2 linked regions of the Lepisosteus oculatus genome follow. The protein of the gene in region 1 purifies or fractionates together with the protein of each later gene. This does not show direct contact. Links are inferred from orthologs where the notes say so. Each region holds a gene or a part of one and is shown on either strand. Other genes may lie near its edges.

Region 1 (7,251 bases):
ACTAAGAATCACTTAATTTATCCTACAGATAGATGTAGTGCTCAGTGCAAGCGAAGATAAAAATGATAGCGCTACACACCGAAGACAAAGCTCGTTTTTGTCCCCCCATCCGTAAGCCTCGTACTGAAGCATCACGGGATATGCAAATCGTACGCAACTGTATTACAGGCACACGCGGCCGCGCAACTAGACAACTCGAGACCAGCAGAAGAGAAGACGGACGATTATTGGGGGGAAGTCAATGACAAATTAGCCCGTCCAAATCGCATTGTGCACAGATGACCTCCCTCCTCCAGCATTTGTGCATAAAACCATTGCACTCGATAATGAACCAATCCATCAACCGGCTGCATTTTTCCAAAATGAGACAATTTATTGTGAAAATAAAAAGTAACAAATCATAATAAATAATGAAGATGTTATTAACGTTATTACTTTTGCTTTGATCTCCACACCTTTCAGTCCTACTTTTTCTGTACATATAATCGCAAAGCGAGCTGCCAGTTTTACAGCTGCAATACCGAGACCTGACCGCTGGGGGGAGAGAACGGTTTGAAAAAAAATAATTTCAGCGCCGATGAGGACAAAATACTGTTAAAAATGAAATTAGTTTATTTTTTTCCGTGCTACTGCGTGATTTACCCCGCAACTGAAAAATCCATGCAAAACAAGGAAATACTTTTCATACTCGTTCCAGCATTTTTTTTTATATTACGCTCAATGCACACGTGTTAGCCATTCAGAAATGAATGCAATATTATACAGAAAGTCACGCTTTAAACGATAGCAACATGTGCTGTAAATAACGGATCACGCCAATTACATTTCTGAACATTCCTTGAAAATGGAAGACATTTTAATGAAAAGTTAAATTCGGTACCCAAAGTGAGAGAGTATGTGAACGTACCATCTTTTTATTTTGTGAACGCAATCGTTTCAGCACAGCATTGCAGCCCGAGCTGCCTTTGATCAAGTAAGTGCAAGACACCAATTAGCTTAAAAGCACGTGTTCTGCACAGACCTTTGCAATCGACGTAACAATTGTAATTTTTTTTCCATGTATAAAGAATTTACAAATACAAGTACAACTCAAGGAGCAATTGTAATTGACCAATCAGGAGCGCGGAGAGTGACCAAGGGCAGCAGCAGGTACCTGAACTGTCGTGATCACGGTATCGTTATCCTGTAACACATCTCAGGCAATTAATCGTCTTTACTGGGAGGTTATCTGTTCTGCATTAAACAAAAAAAAAACACGATTAAACGCAACACGAGCTAAGACATCTCCACGACCGCCGCCTTCCACGCGGAGAGACTTCAAAGCGGCTCGGCGGGCGGCCCACGCGTGGCGTGGCGTGGAAAAAATTCACATGTGACGCACTGCGAGGCGTTCCGGGTTCTAGCAGCGGTGAAACACGAGGAGAGAGCAGGACGCGCACACCCCGTCAATGAGGAATGAAATGCTAAGGGTCATTAATAACCCTTTTCCCTCCCTCTCCTGTACTCCCTAGGCGGTGCTCCGCAGCGTGGGTGTCTTACGACACGTAAGAGACAGAATATCAAAATAGATACAGCAAATAGGCACTTCACAGCAAGAGGAATTCACGACGCTAAGGGCTGAAGCAGTTGCAAAGTCTGGGAGCAGGTCCTGAAGATGATGAGGAAGACTACAGCTCGTCCGTCTGGGAGAAGAGGCCCGTGCGGGAGAGCTTCGTGAAGTGGGAAAGCTGTCGCGCCGGGACAGTCCCACTCCCTCGCCCTGTGGCGGTACGAGTAGTCGGTGGCGGTGGATGGCCACGACGCCTCTCTGTGCCTTGTCTTGCCCTTCGCTGTCCACAGAGCATTGCAGCAGTATAGTGTCCCATCACACTGTACTGGGGCATCAGGACCCACGCAAACCGCAGGGTGAGAGCGCCCCCCGCTGGCCCCACTCACACCTCTTCCAGCAGCAGCTGGGGGTCTCCCGTCCGGGTACCGGCCAGGCTCACACCTGCTGGGCTCCAGGGGCCTGCCAGCAGGGAGCTGTAGTAAGATAGCAGCAGAAAATTAGCGATTTCATTGTGGATGATAATTAGACTTTACTCGGTATTTGTTCCGGTGGCATATTTCAAATAGATTCAAATCTAAAAATATCTTTGCACAGTTTTGATCACGGGTAGATATTTATTTCGACTCTAGAGTAGTTTTGGGAGGGTGGGGGGGATCTATCAGCTGTTCATTTCCATTAAATTTGAAGATTTTCTCTGGTTTCGAGAGGAAACCCAGTCCACCCCGAAGGGAGTTAGCGAGCTGTTCCCTCGTGCTTTTTTTTTTTTTTCCTCCGTGGGTCTCCATGGGCAGACATTCCCTCTGCTGTCTCCTTCCTTGTATCTCATACGCGCACGGCTCCGCCGACCCGGCAAGTCCGGTCTGGCCGGTGTCCCCCGTCCGGCCCGCCAAGCCCCATTCAAAGGAGAAGGCGGGGGAGGGCCGACCGCCAGCCGGCCAATCACGGCGCGAGTGGCCCGCGGCCGGAGACCAATGCCAGGAGAGGGAGGGATCCGGTGAGACCCTGTCAGCCAATCGGAGAGCAGCTGAGCTCGATTTCAGGCAGGCGTGGGAGAGGGCGACTTTGTAGCGTGTTGTCAGACAGCTCCGGCAAATCACAGGGCGCGGAGTCTTGGCGAGACTGTAGAAACAACTACCCCTTTCTCACATAGAGTAATATAACCCCTACCCTTCAATATGGCAAAAGATAATAACTGTTGTGAGCCCGGACTTGCCTTGAGAGGCACTCCATCCAAACATCGACACTTGTCGTTTTCCGATGGCATGACAATGACATGTTTGAACCTACCATCTCTCTGTGCGCCGGTATGGATCTTAAAGTACCCTAAAATTAACTCATTAAATTAAATTAATTTAAAAAATGAAAGAAGAACACGCGATTCACAGAACGTCTCTGCCCCTGCTCTGTAAAGTCACTCAGGCGGGGCTTGAAGTCTCGTACTTGTTCAGTCGAAATACCTCAGGTCCCTCGGCGATGAAGAGCTCTTTCTGCACATGGCGGTGTCTAACGATGGTTAAAGAACGTGACTTCGAGGAGTTCAAATCTGAAATCCGGGAATGGGAGTCAAAAATGATGAAAACAGACCTCGGTAACGTCGTGACGTAGCGAGGCAGCCTGTCGGCACAGGACAAAAAGAAGAAAATATTTGCTTTGTTTTCACTTTTAAAAAAAAGTCAAATTTAGAGGTCAAGAGCTCAGTATTGGTAGGAAAGTGGTAATTTGTTCGGATACAAACGCCTCCCACTAAGGTAGAAAAATGATTATGTGAGAACAAACCTTTAGACCACTCCAATTGAGACAGTTGCAGGACATCCACCGCTATGTGTATTTGTGCAAGCTGACTGAATATTTATTTCCAAACTTATGTCGTATATCTACTTCATTTAATGTATTTTTGAGATAGAGTAGTGTTGATGACAACTGAGCTGTTTGATCTACTATTTCAAATCGTCTCTAATTCACGGGTAAAAGTCCAGAAGAGGTGTGAGTTGTCTCTACATGCTGTGTACAGGAAGGGCAGAAAGCAGTTTCTCATAATTATTGAGCCCGATCAGTTTGGATATTTAAATTATATTTAGGCTAATATTCATTAGAGCCTACTGGATGGGGTGATCCTCAGACCGTGAAAAGTGCGTTCAACTGTTTTTCACGAGTTTCCTTTGATTAAACTAGTGTCTTCAAGAGGGATTTTACAGCAGGTAAGATACTAATTAAAGCGAGAAAATAATGCGCCGGGGACAGAATATAAACAAAGACCTTTCATTTTGTGAAGTATAATTCCATTCTTTTTTCCCCTCAACCTGCTTTAAAGTAGTCCTTTGGATATTGATTCCAGTGACAAAGGTTAATGCACAACAATCATTAGAAAACGACTATCTTCTGTCAAAACACTCTACTATTCCGGTACTATAACTGAAGGACATTTAAAAAAAAAAAAGGTCCGTGCTTTCCAGTGAATAAAATAAAGCGACACGTATCTATGTAAGTGACATTATAAGTTATTTCGTCAACAGGCGTCAGCTCTGCATAACTACAGGGCTGAGGCGGATATAGTTATAGCTCCACATCTCAAGAGGTGTAGTCACACAACTTTTTATTAGGAACAAGTAATAGGTTTATTCCATGCTGAAAAAAAGAAGAAAGAGAACACAACGTTTCGGCCGTGGAGCTTTCTTCAGGTTTTTTTTTTTTTTAGTGGTTGGGGTGAAATGAGCTGTACATGAGGTAGCTGTGTGAATCCGTGGGTTTGTATTAAACTGAAGTGGACAGTCGGGGATAGTCGATGGAGAAGTTGATGTCTAGAAACGGAAGAGCAGTGGAAGATATGTTAACCGTATATTTGAGGGACGGGTGGAAGTTGGTGAAACTTTTTATTAGCTGTGAAAGTGACTGAACTAGGAAAGAGCGAAAGAGACAAAAGCGTTTTTATATCCACCCCCATTCCTTGACACGGCTCTTCCACATCCTGGGAGACGTATATAATACGCTTAGACGTTTCCGATTTAATAGTAAAAAATATTTTAATCTGCTCAGAGCAGAACAGCCCCCCCCAATTGGCCATTTCTCTGCAATCCAAAGATGCACCACAAATAAACCAGCTGGAACGCGTCGCTTTGCGTATGCCACGGCGTAGAACACGAAGAGGCTGTCGATTACATTAGCATGACTGTTCGTTTTTGTTTTTTGAGTGAAAACAAAAAATTAAGCATCGCAACCGCCGACCTCAACAGCACTCCACCGAACAAGCCCAGGAACAAAGGCAACTTCTCCACATGTCCCCGCAGGCGGGGCCCCCTGCCGCACAGCCGCCGCTGATTGGCCAGCTCCCCGGCGGCAGCGGGCCATTCGGATGCCCCGATACTGGGGGGGCTGAGTGTCCTCCTCGCTGATTGGCGGCCGCGTTTGGCGCTCGCCGAGGCCCCGGTCTGGCGGAGCGAGGGGCGGACAGCGAGCGAGCAGAGGCGACGGGCGGTGAGCGGAGAGCTGCCGGAGCGGAAATCGCCGTGCGACGAGGGGACTCCGTGCCGAGGCGAAGGCGACCGAGTGCCGGCCGCAGCGGAGCGGCCCTGCCGAGCCAGGGAGGGGGGGGGCGCCCAGCGAGCGGGAAAGGAGGAAGGAGCCGCCGGGCCCCGGCAGCGCCTCTTTGTGTGAGCCGTTTACCCGGCGCCCCTCGGTCGGTCCCGGAGCCACGGGAGGGTCGTCGCCTCGGTACCCCGGTGGCTGTGGACCAGGAGTCGAGTCGGCTCTTCGACAGGTGAGAGGGGTTTTTTTATGTGTGTGTGTGGGGGGGGGGTTTGTTTCCATTTTGTCGTTTTTCCATTCACACGACTAACCCCCCCGCTCTCTCTCTCTCTCTCCCCCCTCCTCCTCCTCCTCCTCCTCTCTCTCTCTTTCTCCCGGCTCGGCTGGCTGGCGGAAAAGGGAGAAGAAGAAACGGCTTTCTTTTTGTTTCGGGCGGGCTGGAGTGCAGACCTGTGTGTGTGGGGGGGTCGGAGCGGTGAAGACTTTTTTGTTGTTGTTTTGTTGTTGTCGTCGAGAGAGTCCGCACGGCCGCTGTCCGGGTGAGCTTGAGCCGGCGGTACCGGGGCGGAAGTTTTGCGCCGTGCGGTTCCCTCCACCGCGCAGTGTGGGATCCGGGTGGGAGAGTCGTGCGTGGCTCCTTCGCCCGGTGTTGTCTCCCACGGGGTGTGTGTGTGTGTCTGCCCCCTCTCCGGCGCCGGCGGTGTCGCCTCGGGTCCTCTCTGAGCGCCGTGCCGTGTCGGTGAAGTCCGCTGTCCCGGTATTGACCTCGGCGAGGCGGCGCGTCGTGAGAGCCCGTTGTCTCTACCTGTGTGTGGTGTCCCGGGCTGGCGAGGGCTCCGCGACAGCACGTCAGTGCACACGGGTTTTTTTTATTATTATTATTTTAATCTGATCCCCTGCTTTGTGTTGCTGTTAGATTTTGTTTTGTTTTCTTTTTTAAAGAATTGGTCCGCCGGGGGTTTTAGGAATAGGTGAGTGGAGGTAGGGTTTGCACTGGACCACTTTTGCTTTGCTTTTCGATGTCCTGGGGGGCGCTGAGCGTCCCGGCGAGTTGGTTTTCGATGGCTGGCAGCGAGCAGCCCCATGTGTGCGGAGCAGCCCCATGTGGGGAAGCGTGCGGAGCTGTTCCCATGTTCCTCCATCAGAAGGAACTGGTCGTGACCTCGGGTCATCGGGGCGAATGTGGAAGGCTTGGCTTGAGACTACCAGGTGCTCTTTTTTTCACTCTTTCATCCTCTTCAGTTTTTTTTTTAAGGAGAATGGTCGTCTGATAGTCTGCCTGCAGTGTAAATCTGATGTGGTGTCATTTAGGTTGTGGTGGCCTGGGTTTAAGTGTAAAAAAAAATGTGAACTGTTTTTTTAAGTTGTGAATAGATATGTTTTTAAGAATGTATCTGTGAATTCATAAACGTACCTCAGTTCAGAAATTATTCGAAGGTAAGGTACTGTCTCATTGTTTCCACACGCCAGCAGTACTGGATGAATTTGTACACAGAAGGTGAGCACTACGAGTGAGCGGCCAGCGTGGCTGTCTTGGTGTCAGGGGTGTCCTGGTCCTGGAGGCGTGTGCTGTCATTCAGACCTCAATTACCACCTGATTGGCCCAACATCCCCGCCACTCCCAGCTCTGCAGAGACCTGGAGAGTGAGACAGCGGCCCTGCCGGACCAGGAACTCATGCTCTTGTCGCCTCAGGAGGGCGAGGGGTCGCGCGGTTCAGAGCTCTGAGGCTCTGCGCGGCGCTGAAGACTGACACCTCCTTACGTGTCTTTCTTGAGCCCCGAATGGTTACCATTTGATGGGTCCCTGACTGAAATCGGCCGCACAGCCGTGCGGGACGGTCCTGGCTGTTCCCCTGGGCTTGACGGGCTCCGGGACCGCGCTGCCCGCCTCTCTGAAGGGTTCTGGTCCTGGTTCTGGTCCCGCAGCGGTGATGTGGTGCGCAGGCCTGCTGTCCCGGCTGCTTGTTGTAGGTGGGTGGGGAGGAGTCGGGGCTGGCGGGGCCTTTCTTGTTTTCTGGTCAGGTTCCAGCCAGCCACCCGTCGGGCTTGCAGCAGCGTCCCCCCTGGGGACAGGGGTCTCCCCTCCCTCTTTCTGAGAAGGAAGCGGTGCAGCCGGAGTGAGCCGAGAAGGGGAATTATGTTTGTGATCAGTCGCACCCCAGCTGTGTTCTCGGGTATG
Region 2 (7,351 bases), on another chromosome or scaffold:
TGTAATTAAGGGTTCTGGTAATCTTTGTGTGATTGCAGAATTTTCCCCTTATTTATGCAGTGAATGTCCATTGTGAGTAAGGCCAGCAGGCTCTGCTCTGTCAGCGGTATGAAACACAGTCTGTTTTCTTTCAGGGTTAGGGAGCTGTGACCGTGGGACAGAAAGAGTCTGCATCCCTCCCCATCACGACCAGGCCTTGCTTCAGTCACTGTTGGGCCAATGTTTGAGTACAGCTGGTATCAGGTTTGTATTACAGCTGGGTGATGGTGGGTGTCATGTTCGAGACAGGCATGCTTTTGGCCTCTGTTCCTTGGCAAAGTTTCAGGAGTGCTGCGTTAGAGAAGCCCTGTACCAGTGGAGGCCTGAATGTGATACATTCGTCATTTTCTCGGGGGGCAAGATCAGAGGCTGTTCGGTCAGCATGTTTTAATCATTATTGTGGGAAGACGGATTGAGTTTCCTAACCTAGCAGGAAACGGTAGGGAGAAGGGCAGCCTACAGCACGTAACCGATGACCAGTCATACCTGAGGAGCTCGCTGCTAAGTGTCAAGTCCAGGGACCTGGAGAGTGGATATAGGCCTGAGCATGGAAAAATGTCATGTACAGCGTTTGTACCAAACCCACGCTCTTTGATGTTAGTTCTCAGTTTTAGGTTATTGATCTTTCTGGCAAATTTGGCAATGCTTTTCCCATACGATGGTGAAAAAAAACACCATCCTTCACAAGCACTGCACCATACGATAAAACAACACGCATTATCCTTTACCACCACTGGTGCAAATTCCATTATGGGCCCATCATTATTTTGTACCGGTTCGTAACGAGACGCAGTTTCAGCAGAAAGCCAAGATCAGAGCTCTGGACTTCTAGGGAGAAGTCAGGTGGATATGAAGGACTGGAGAGCTGACAGGAACTTTCTGCAGGGGCAGGTCGGTGGCAGCAGTCCTGTCAAGTTATGTGAAATTTCAGTTTGCTGTATGGTTTTCATGCATGTTGTTGTATGGTGTGGTGTACCCTTCATGAAAGAGTTACAATGCTGTGTGTGTGTTTTTTTTTTTCCTTCGTCCAAGTGTAACGAATATGCCCCTGCGTATAACAGGGATCTCAGCCACCCGGGCTGAGGGAGCTCTCCTTTAGCTCAGCCGTCAAGTTCCCTGTTGCATGACGCCGGAGACCTGGGTTCGTGCCCAGGCGGTGAGGGACGAACTGGCAGGGCAGGAGTGGCAAGGGCGGAAACACCAAGAACCATTACAGAAGCAATTCAGAAGGCCTCTTGCCAGGTTTCTTATCCTTGATGTCCTGTGCAAATACAGGCTTATCATATTTTTTGGTAGATTATATACTGTATGTTCTTAATATTATATATTCTTCAAATCCAATTTATTTATAGGCTTGGAACATTCAATTTTCCTGGGGCACAATCCTGCGGATTCCTTCACAGTGCCATGTGCTCTATCCCGGTGGGATTGCTGAGACACACGAGGTGGAAGGCCTTAGGGATTCTACCTTTGCTATTAATGTGAACAGTGTGAGTAACTGGGGCTGGGTTAACCACTTAAGTGTGATCTGAGCGCAGTGTGATGTCATGCAAAGGGGAATTGTGCTGTCCTCTGCTTATCCTGCAGAACGGTCTCCTTTCTTTTGTAGAGAATAATTTCTGCAAAGGCACCTAAACAGACAAAGTGGTGAACGATCGTTAGATGTTGTTTTGTCTTACTGTGGCTTTAAAAAAAATCCTTAATGGACGTATTTAACTTGAATGCCAACGTGATGAAAATTGTCCTGCAGTTTGGGCTGTCAGTTATGTCCCTGATTTTAACACCAAGAACGAATTAAGTTCCTCTCTATTTCTCCACCTGGCCAACTGGATGCCTGGTTTGCCTCACTCTCCTTTCTTCTTCTAGAAGAGCGCAAGACCCTTCAAAGTCCGGGAAGCTTATTCTCTGCAGGACAGGGGTTTCTGTCAGCTCGTGCGACCGTTGCTCACGCGAAAGTTGGATCCAAAATTAAAACAAGGGAACACCTTCTTTTTTTTCTTGTCTGGGGAAGCAGTTGGCTTTCGGAGGCCAGAGGAGAGGAGTCACAGAGGCGGCGCGCTGTCAAAACCTCCCCCGGCGTCACGGCCTAGCCCCAGCCGAAGACAACGGACGTTCGGTCCTTTTGTGAGGAAAATATGTCAAAACTTTCAAGGAACACCATGTAAAAACCATCTCTTTTGTCCGGCGTTTTGATTTCCGACACGTCACGGCGTCTGGAAGTTTGCGGGGGGGGGGGCGAGTCAAGTCGGAAGGGTGAGCTAGCTGAGGGGGCTGGTGGGGTGAAAAACGTTGCCGGCCCGCGCGGCTTTTTGTGGTAAAACGAGGCCAACGGGCATCGGAGCCGCCCTCATTCCCCCAGGCCCCCCGAGCGCGAAGAGGCACAACACACCTTCGCTGCTGCCGGCAGTTCGGCCCTCAACAAGTTGGTCCGCAGAGCAGATGTGCACCTCGCGCTGAGCCACAACCTGTCGGGCTTGCAGGCCCGGCCCGCTGAGGGTCCGCAGTGCCGCGTCCCGGCCCGCTGAGGGTCCGCAGTGCCGCGTCCCGGCCCGGTGAGGGTCCGCAGTGCCACGTCCCGGCCCGCTGAGGGTCCGCAGTGCCGCGGCCCGGCCCGCTGAGGGTCCGCAGTGCCCCGGCCCGGCCCGCTGAGGGTCCGCAGTGCCGCGGCCCGGCCCGCTGAGGGTCCGCAGTGCCGCGTCCCGGCCCGGTGAGGGTCCGCAGCGCGCTCGCGGGGGACGGCGGGGAAGTCGGCGCGAACGCGTGGCAAGCGAGGGAGGCGGGGTAGGGACCAGGGACGGAACAGGCCGGGGGGAGGAAAGCGTTGGGCAAAATCGACGTCGAAACACCCTCCCTCCTCCATGGCCTCCTCTGTCGTCGTCATCCGTGGAAGACAGCCGACACATAAAAGGGATGCAGAGGGATTTAAGCGAACAAACCCGGGTGCAGAGAGAAAAAAGGGTGGAAAAGAAAAACAGGTCATTGAGACACGAGTTTAGAGGGGGAAGAGAGAGTTGGGGACGTTGGGATGAGTTTCCCCCAAACCTCCTCCCCCCTGCGTCCTGACTAGGCAGGGTTTGGGGTTATACCTCTTCTTTTACCCCCGCCAAACGCAAATAATAAGCCACTGGTTTTATCCCCCCTCCCCGCCAGAGGGCCGAGGGGAACCCCTTCCTCCGCACGCCGGACGAGGTCAGGCCCCCGCGCGAGGAAGGCGCTGTGGCGCCCGCGCGCCCATCCCCCCGCGCTGGAGAGGCGAAGTTGTGTGCGCGCGTCTGCGCCGGAGAGACAGGCCGCGAGCGCGGGGAGGGGGTGGGGAGAGCGAGAGGGTGTGAGTGTGTGTGTGTGCGCGGATCGGGGATGGCGGCTCGATCTCTTTAAATGCGCCGGGACGCTAAGAGAGCCGGAGGCTTATTTATTTAGTTTTTTTTTTCCCTTCTCCTTTTGCTGCGCAGCCAAGCCACAGTCGGAATATTATGCATTGTTTTCTTAAGAAATAGTATTCTGGACTGTAGCTGCTACTGCGGCGGATCTCTCCCCCCCCCACCCCTGCCTTCTGTATCACTTCCTGCTCTGTGACTGGTTCAGTCCACAGCTCACCCCTCCTCCCTCGCTCTCTCGCTGTAATTCCATGCCGCCTCTGTGAGGAGATCGGGTGTTTCTGTGCACACAGTCGCACTTTTCACATGCTCGCAGTGCGCGGAAGATTTACACAGAACCGTCCACGGCAACTAGTTCACTCCTGCTTTTGAGCGCACAGGAGCAGGACATTTAACATCCACACACCCCCTGTCTTCACACGGGCGCAAGATAAAGTGTAACCATATCCTGGTTCGCGTCCATTCGGTATGCGTTGTTTTAAATAGGCTTCCCATTGTGCCCGCAGTGATAGTTTCTTTTACAGTACCCGTTCTGTTTTTTTAAACAAATATATAACACTTCTCCCCCACCCAGCACCAAACACACACCCTGACACACGTGAACTTGTTTGATTTCTATCTTGACTGTGTTTTTTCCAATGCACACAACCCCTTTCCTGAAGAGGAAAATGGGATTTAAAAAATAATATTCATGTTTTCTTTTGAACTGGCCCAATTAAAGCATGAGGGGCCTCTCAGGATACGGCACCTTTTAAAGCCGACGTCTGCGTTTCCCTTATTTTCTGCACCGCCACCCCCTCTACCATCCACTTTGCGATAAATGTTATTGCTGTTGTGATTTCAAAACACCCCGGTCGAGTTCCAGTCTCAGTCCCGCTCCACCCCGTCTCGGGACTCCAGTCCGGGTTTTGCGTCTCTCTGCGCGCCTCAGTAAAATGGCTGTGTCTCGCGGAGCCTCGTGCTGGTTTGATCAGTTTCTCGCTCTCAGTCTCGTTCTCTAACAGAAGCCCCCCCACATTCCGTGTCGGTTAATTTCATTCCCGGGATTTTTATTTATTTTTTTTCAATAACTTTTAATTCGCATCGGAGCCGGGAGTGGAGCCCGGATTCGGTCCGGTGTTAGGGGGGAATGAGCCGGGACACGGGTAAATTGTTATAAATAATTGTATTTATATTCAATGCTATTGAGTGTTTGATTGTGACTGACTCGCTGTGAAAGAGAGAGAGAGAGAGGAATATCATGGCCGCTCAGGTCGCCAGCGTCGCCACTCTCAACACCAGCCCGCCGTCCGAACTGAAAAAAGCGGATCGGGACCCACAGGAGGAGCCGGTACCGGGGGAGAAGCAGCAGGAAAATAAGGAACCGGGATCGGAGAGTGGATCCCCGGGTCAGAAGGAGCTACAGGACGGGGCCGATGGTGGAAATGCAGGGGGAGGAGGGGATCCGGAGATGAAGAACGGGAACGGGAATCCGTCCAGGGTGAACAATAATAATAACCAGAATGATTCAGGAGCTCCCGAAGGGAATAACCACCCCGGGATGGCACACCACCACCCCGCCGCTTTTCCTCCACCACCCTACGGTTACAGCCCGCACTACGGCCGGGGCCCTTTTCATCAACATGGCGGACAACAAAGCCCTGGCATGGCAGCTGCGGCGGGGCCGGCCGTGCAGCCAGGCAGCATGATGGACTCCTATCAGCCCAACTCGCACGACCACGGCTTCCCCAACCACCAGTTTAACAACTACAGCCCATTCCCCAATCGGACTGCCTACCCCGGCCAAGGGTACACTATGAATTCCCCGCGAAACAACCAGCCTCCGGCGGCTGGGGGGCAGCCAGCCAAGCAGCAGCAGCAGCCGCCGCCGCCAGCGGGAGGAACTACAGCTATGGCTGTCACTTACAATAATCAGAGGTATACTATGGGAAACCCGCAGCCGACTTCCACCCCAACCCTAAACCAGCTCCTGACCTCTCCCAGCTCGACGAGGGGCTACCAGAACTACCCCCCTAGCGACTACAGTAACCAGGAAGGAGCTAACAAGGGACCAGTAGACGTGGGCAGCAGCAGTCAGTATGGTGGCCACCAGGGTTGGCAACAAAGGACCCATCATCCGCCGCCTATGAGCCCGGGAAGTACTGGGCAACCACTAAGCAGAAATCAGGTAAAGTTTCATTCGCCTCGGAGCCCGCGGTGCTTGGCTGTGTTTTACACTCGCAGCCCTCTGTAATGGTGTAGACTAGGACCTAGTGCAATGGACCTGCCATTGTCTCTCTCTCTCTCAGACTCTCTAAAATGGCTGCCTCTCAGCTTTTTCTCCACACCACCTCCTCTAACAGCGTTTATCTAGTAAAAACAAGCGGCTGGTCGAGCCGAATCGTCGTCTTTCCGAGCCCGGCGGTGAAAAGTCGAAGTTTGGGCGGTCGGGCTAAAAGGAGAGGCGACTTTTAAAGAGGTAAAATGACAGCGAAAGGCGTTTTTTTGTTTCGCGTGTTGTTTATCTGCAGGGCAGGACGGCTTAAAAGGTAATTAAAATGTGTAATTCTCAGGGCTTTCTGTCTCTTTCAGGGGTGGTTTTTTTTTCTGTTTCCCCTGTAGCCGCTCGTTAGCAACATTGGTGTGTCCGGGGGTTATAGCAACTAATAGATCCGCACGTTTGTATTAATTACATTTGCATATTTGGATTTAATAGTGGGGAAAATTCCCAGCATGGCAGTAAGATTTCCTGATCCTTGTAAAATGCATGTAACATTCCAGAAAATACTAAAACAGTGCTGGCTTTATAAACGTCTAGTTGGAGCTGGAAGTTTTTTTTAACACTATATTTGCTGAGTTTTTACATTGACCTCCTATTCCTCTCGGAGAATGGCGTTTTAATTCTGTCCCTGCATTCCCAGATCGGGGCTCTTCTTTCCTTAGGCTGCTAGTAAACAATGGCCAGTGATTTGAGTAAGTGCAGATTGCTTTGCTTTGGGATTTGAATTATGGAGGTAAAATCCTTCTGTCAAAGCCAGGAGACAGTTGGTCTTAGGTTGACATGCTAGCTGAGATCTGATTGGCTCTCCATCCTCTGCTCTTGGCCATTTATAATTGCATCTGATGTAATGCTACAACAATCCCTGATTAGCTCATATACTTTTACACTCTGAAGATAACAGAAACATCTTAACAACACACATTGCTTACTTTCAGGCATGCTGCCTCTCTTGATCCCAGAACTATCTTCTGTGATGCTTGTAAAAGGTCAATTTGTCATTGATAATGGTCAGTTTAATATGTTACATTTTCCCCCCAGTGTCTTACTTAGTATATGTCATTAATAAAAAAAAATCTTCCAGCTTTGTTCAGTGTTTATGGTTGTATTTGTGTAAGGGCGCATCTTGTTGATAGTTTGATCAATAATTTTAATAGTCACAGGTCATTTTTGGTTATGATGGAGTGTGAAATGGATCTGTTTGACTGGACGGGGAAATAATTTTAAAACCTTAATGTCCATTTTCTCTAATCCGTATTAGTGATAACATCCACATCTCATTATATAAGCTTTTGAGCAGTTTCAATTATTAGAACTAGAACTTTTTCAGTTTTTTTAATCCAAGTAATTCTGTATTTCTTGGGTGTATTCACCAAGTAAACCATTCATTCATATATTATTATTAGGATAAATTAATAGTTTACTTAGTGGAATTTCCCCCCCACATAGTTTCTACCATCTGGATGCTATACTTTAATGCTTTTAATGCTTTTTTTTAAAGCCTCCTAACTTTATAAAAAGTTATCAGAATTGTTCATTTTAATTTTATTAACAATTACAGTATAGCTCAGAGGTTGTTCTTTTTCAGGGAGTGAAAATTAATTTTGAGATTGTTGTGGCTTTAGATAATTGATAAAGGGTCTTAGATTGATTGCACATTATAAAGATTAAATAAATC

What was found. Proteins that work in one complex are often made in the same cells at the same time.
Region 2: the proteins of ezh2 (region 1) and AT-rich interactive domain-containing protein 1A purify together in Homo sapiens (affinity purification with mass spectrometry; 3 studies listed by BioGRID, with this or other methods). This does not show direct contact. The link is inferred for Lepisosteus oculatus from reciprocal best matches to the Homo sapiens genes EZH2 and ARID1A.

Annotation. Positions count from the first base shown.
Region 1 is NC_090701.1:2,908,432-2,915,682, reverse strand, and holds the start of ezh2 (histone-lysine N-methyltransferase EZH2), read left to right. Parts: upstream 1-4,238; 5' UTR 4,239-5,303; intron 5,304-5,552; exon of another isoform or gene 5,553-5,610; intron 5,611-7,251. UniProt on the Homo sapiens protein: Polycomb group (PcG) protein. Catalytic subunit of the PRC2/EED-EZH2 complex, which methylates 'Lys-9' (H3K9me) and 'Lys-27' (H3K27me) of histone H3, leading to transcriptional repression of the affected target gene.
Region 2 is NC_090706.1:7,219,249-7,226,599, reverse strand, and holds the start of AT-rich interactive domain-containing protein 1A, read left to right. Parts: upstream 1-4,329; 5' UTR 4,330-4,656; coding exon 4,657-5,583; intron 5,584-7,351. UniProt on the Homo sapiens protein: Involved in transcriptional activation and repression of select genes by chromatin remodeling (alteration of DNA-nucleosome topology).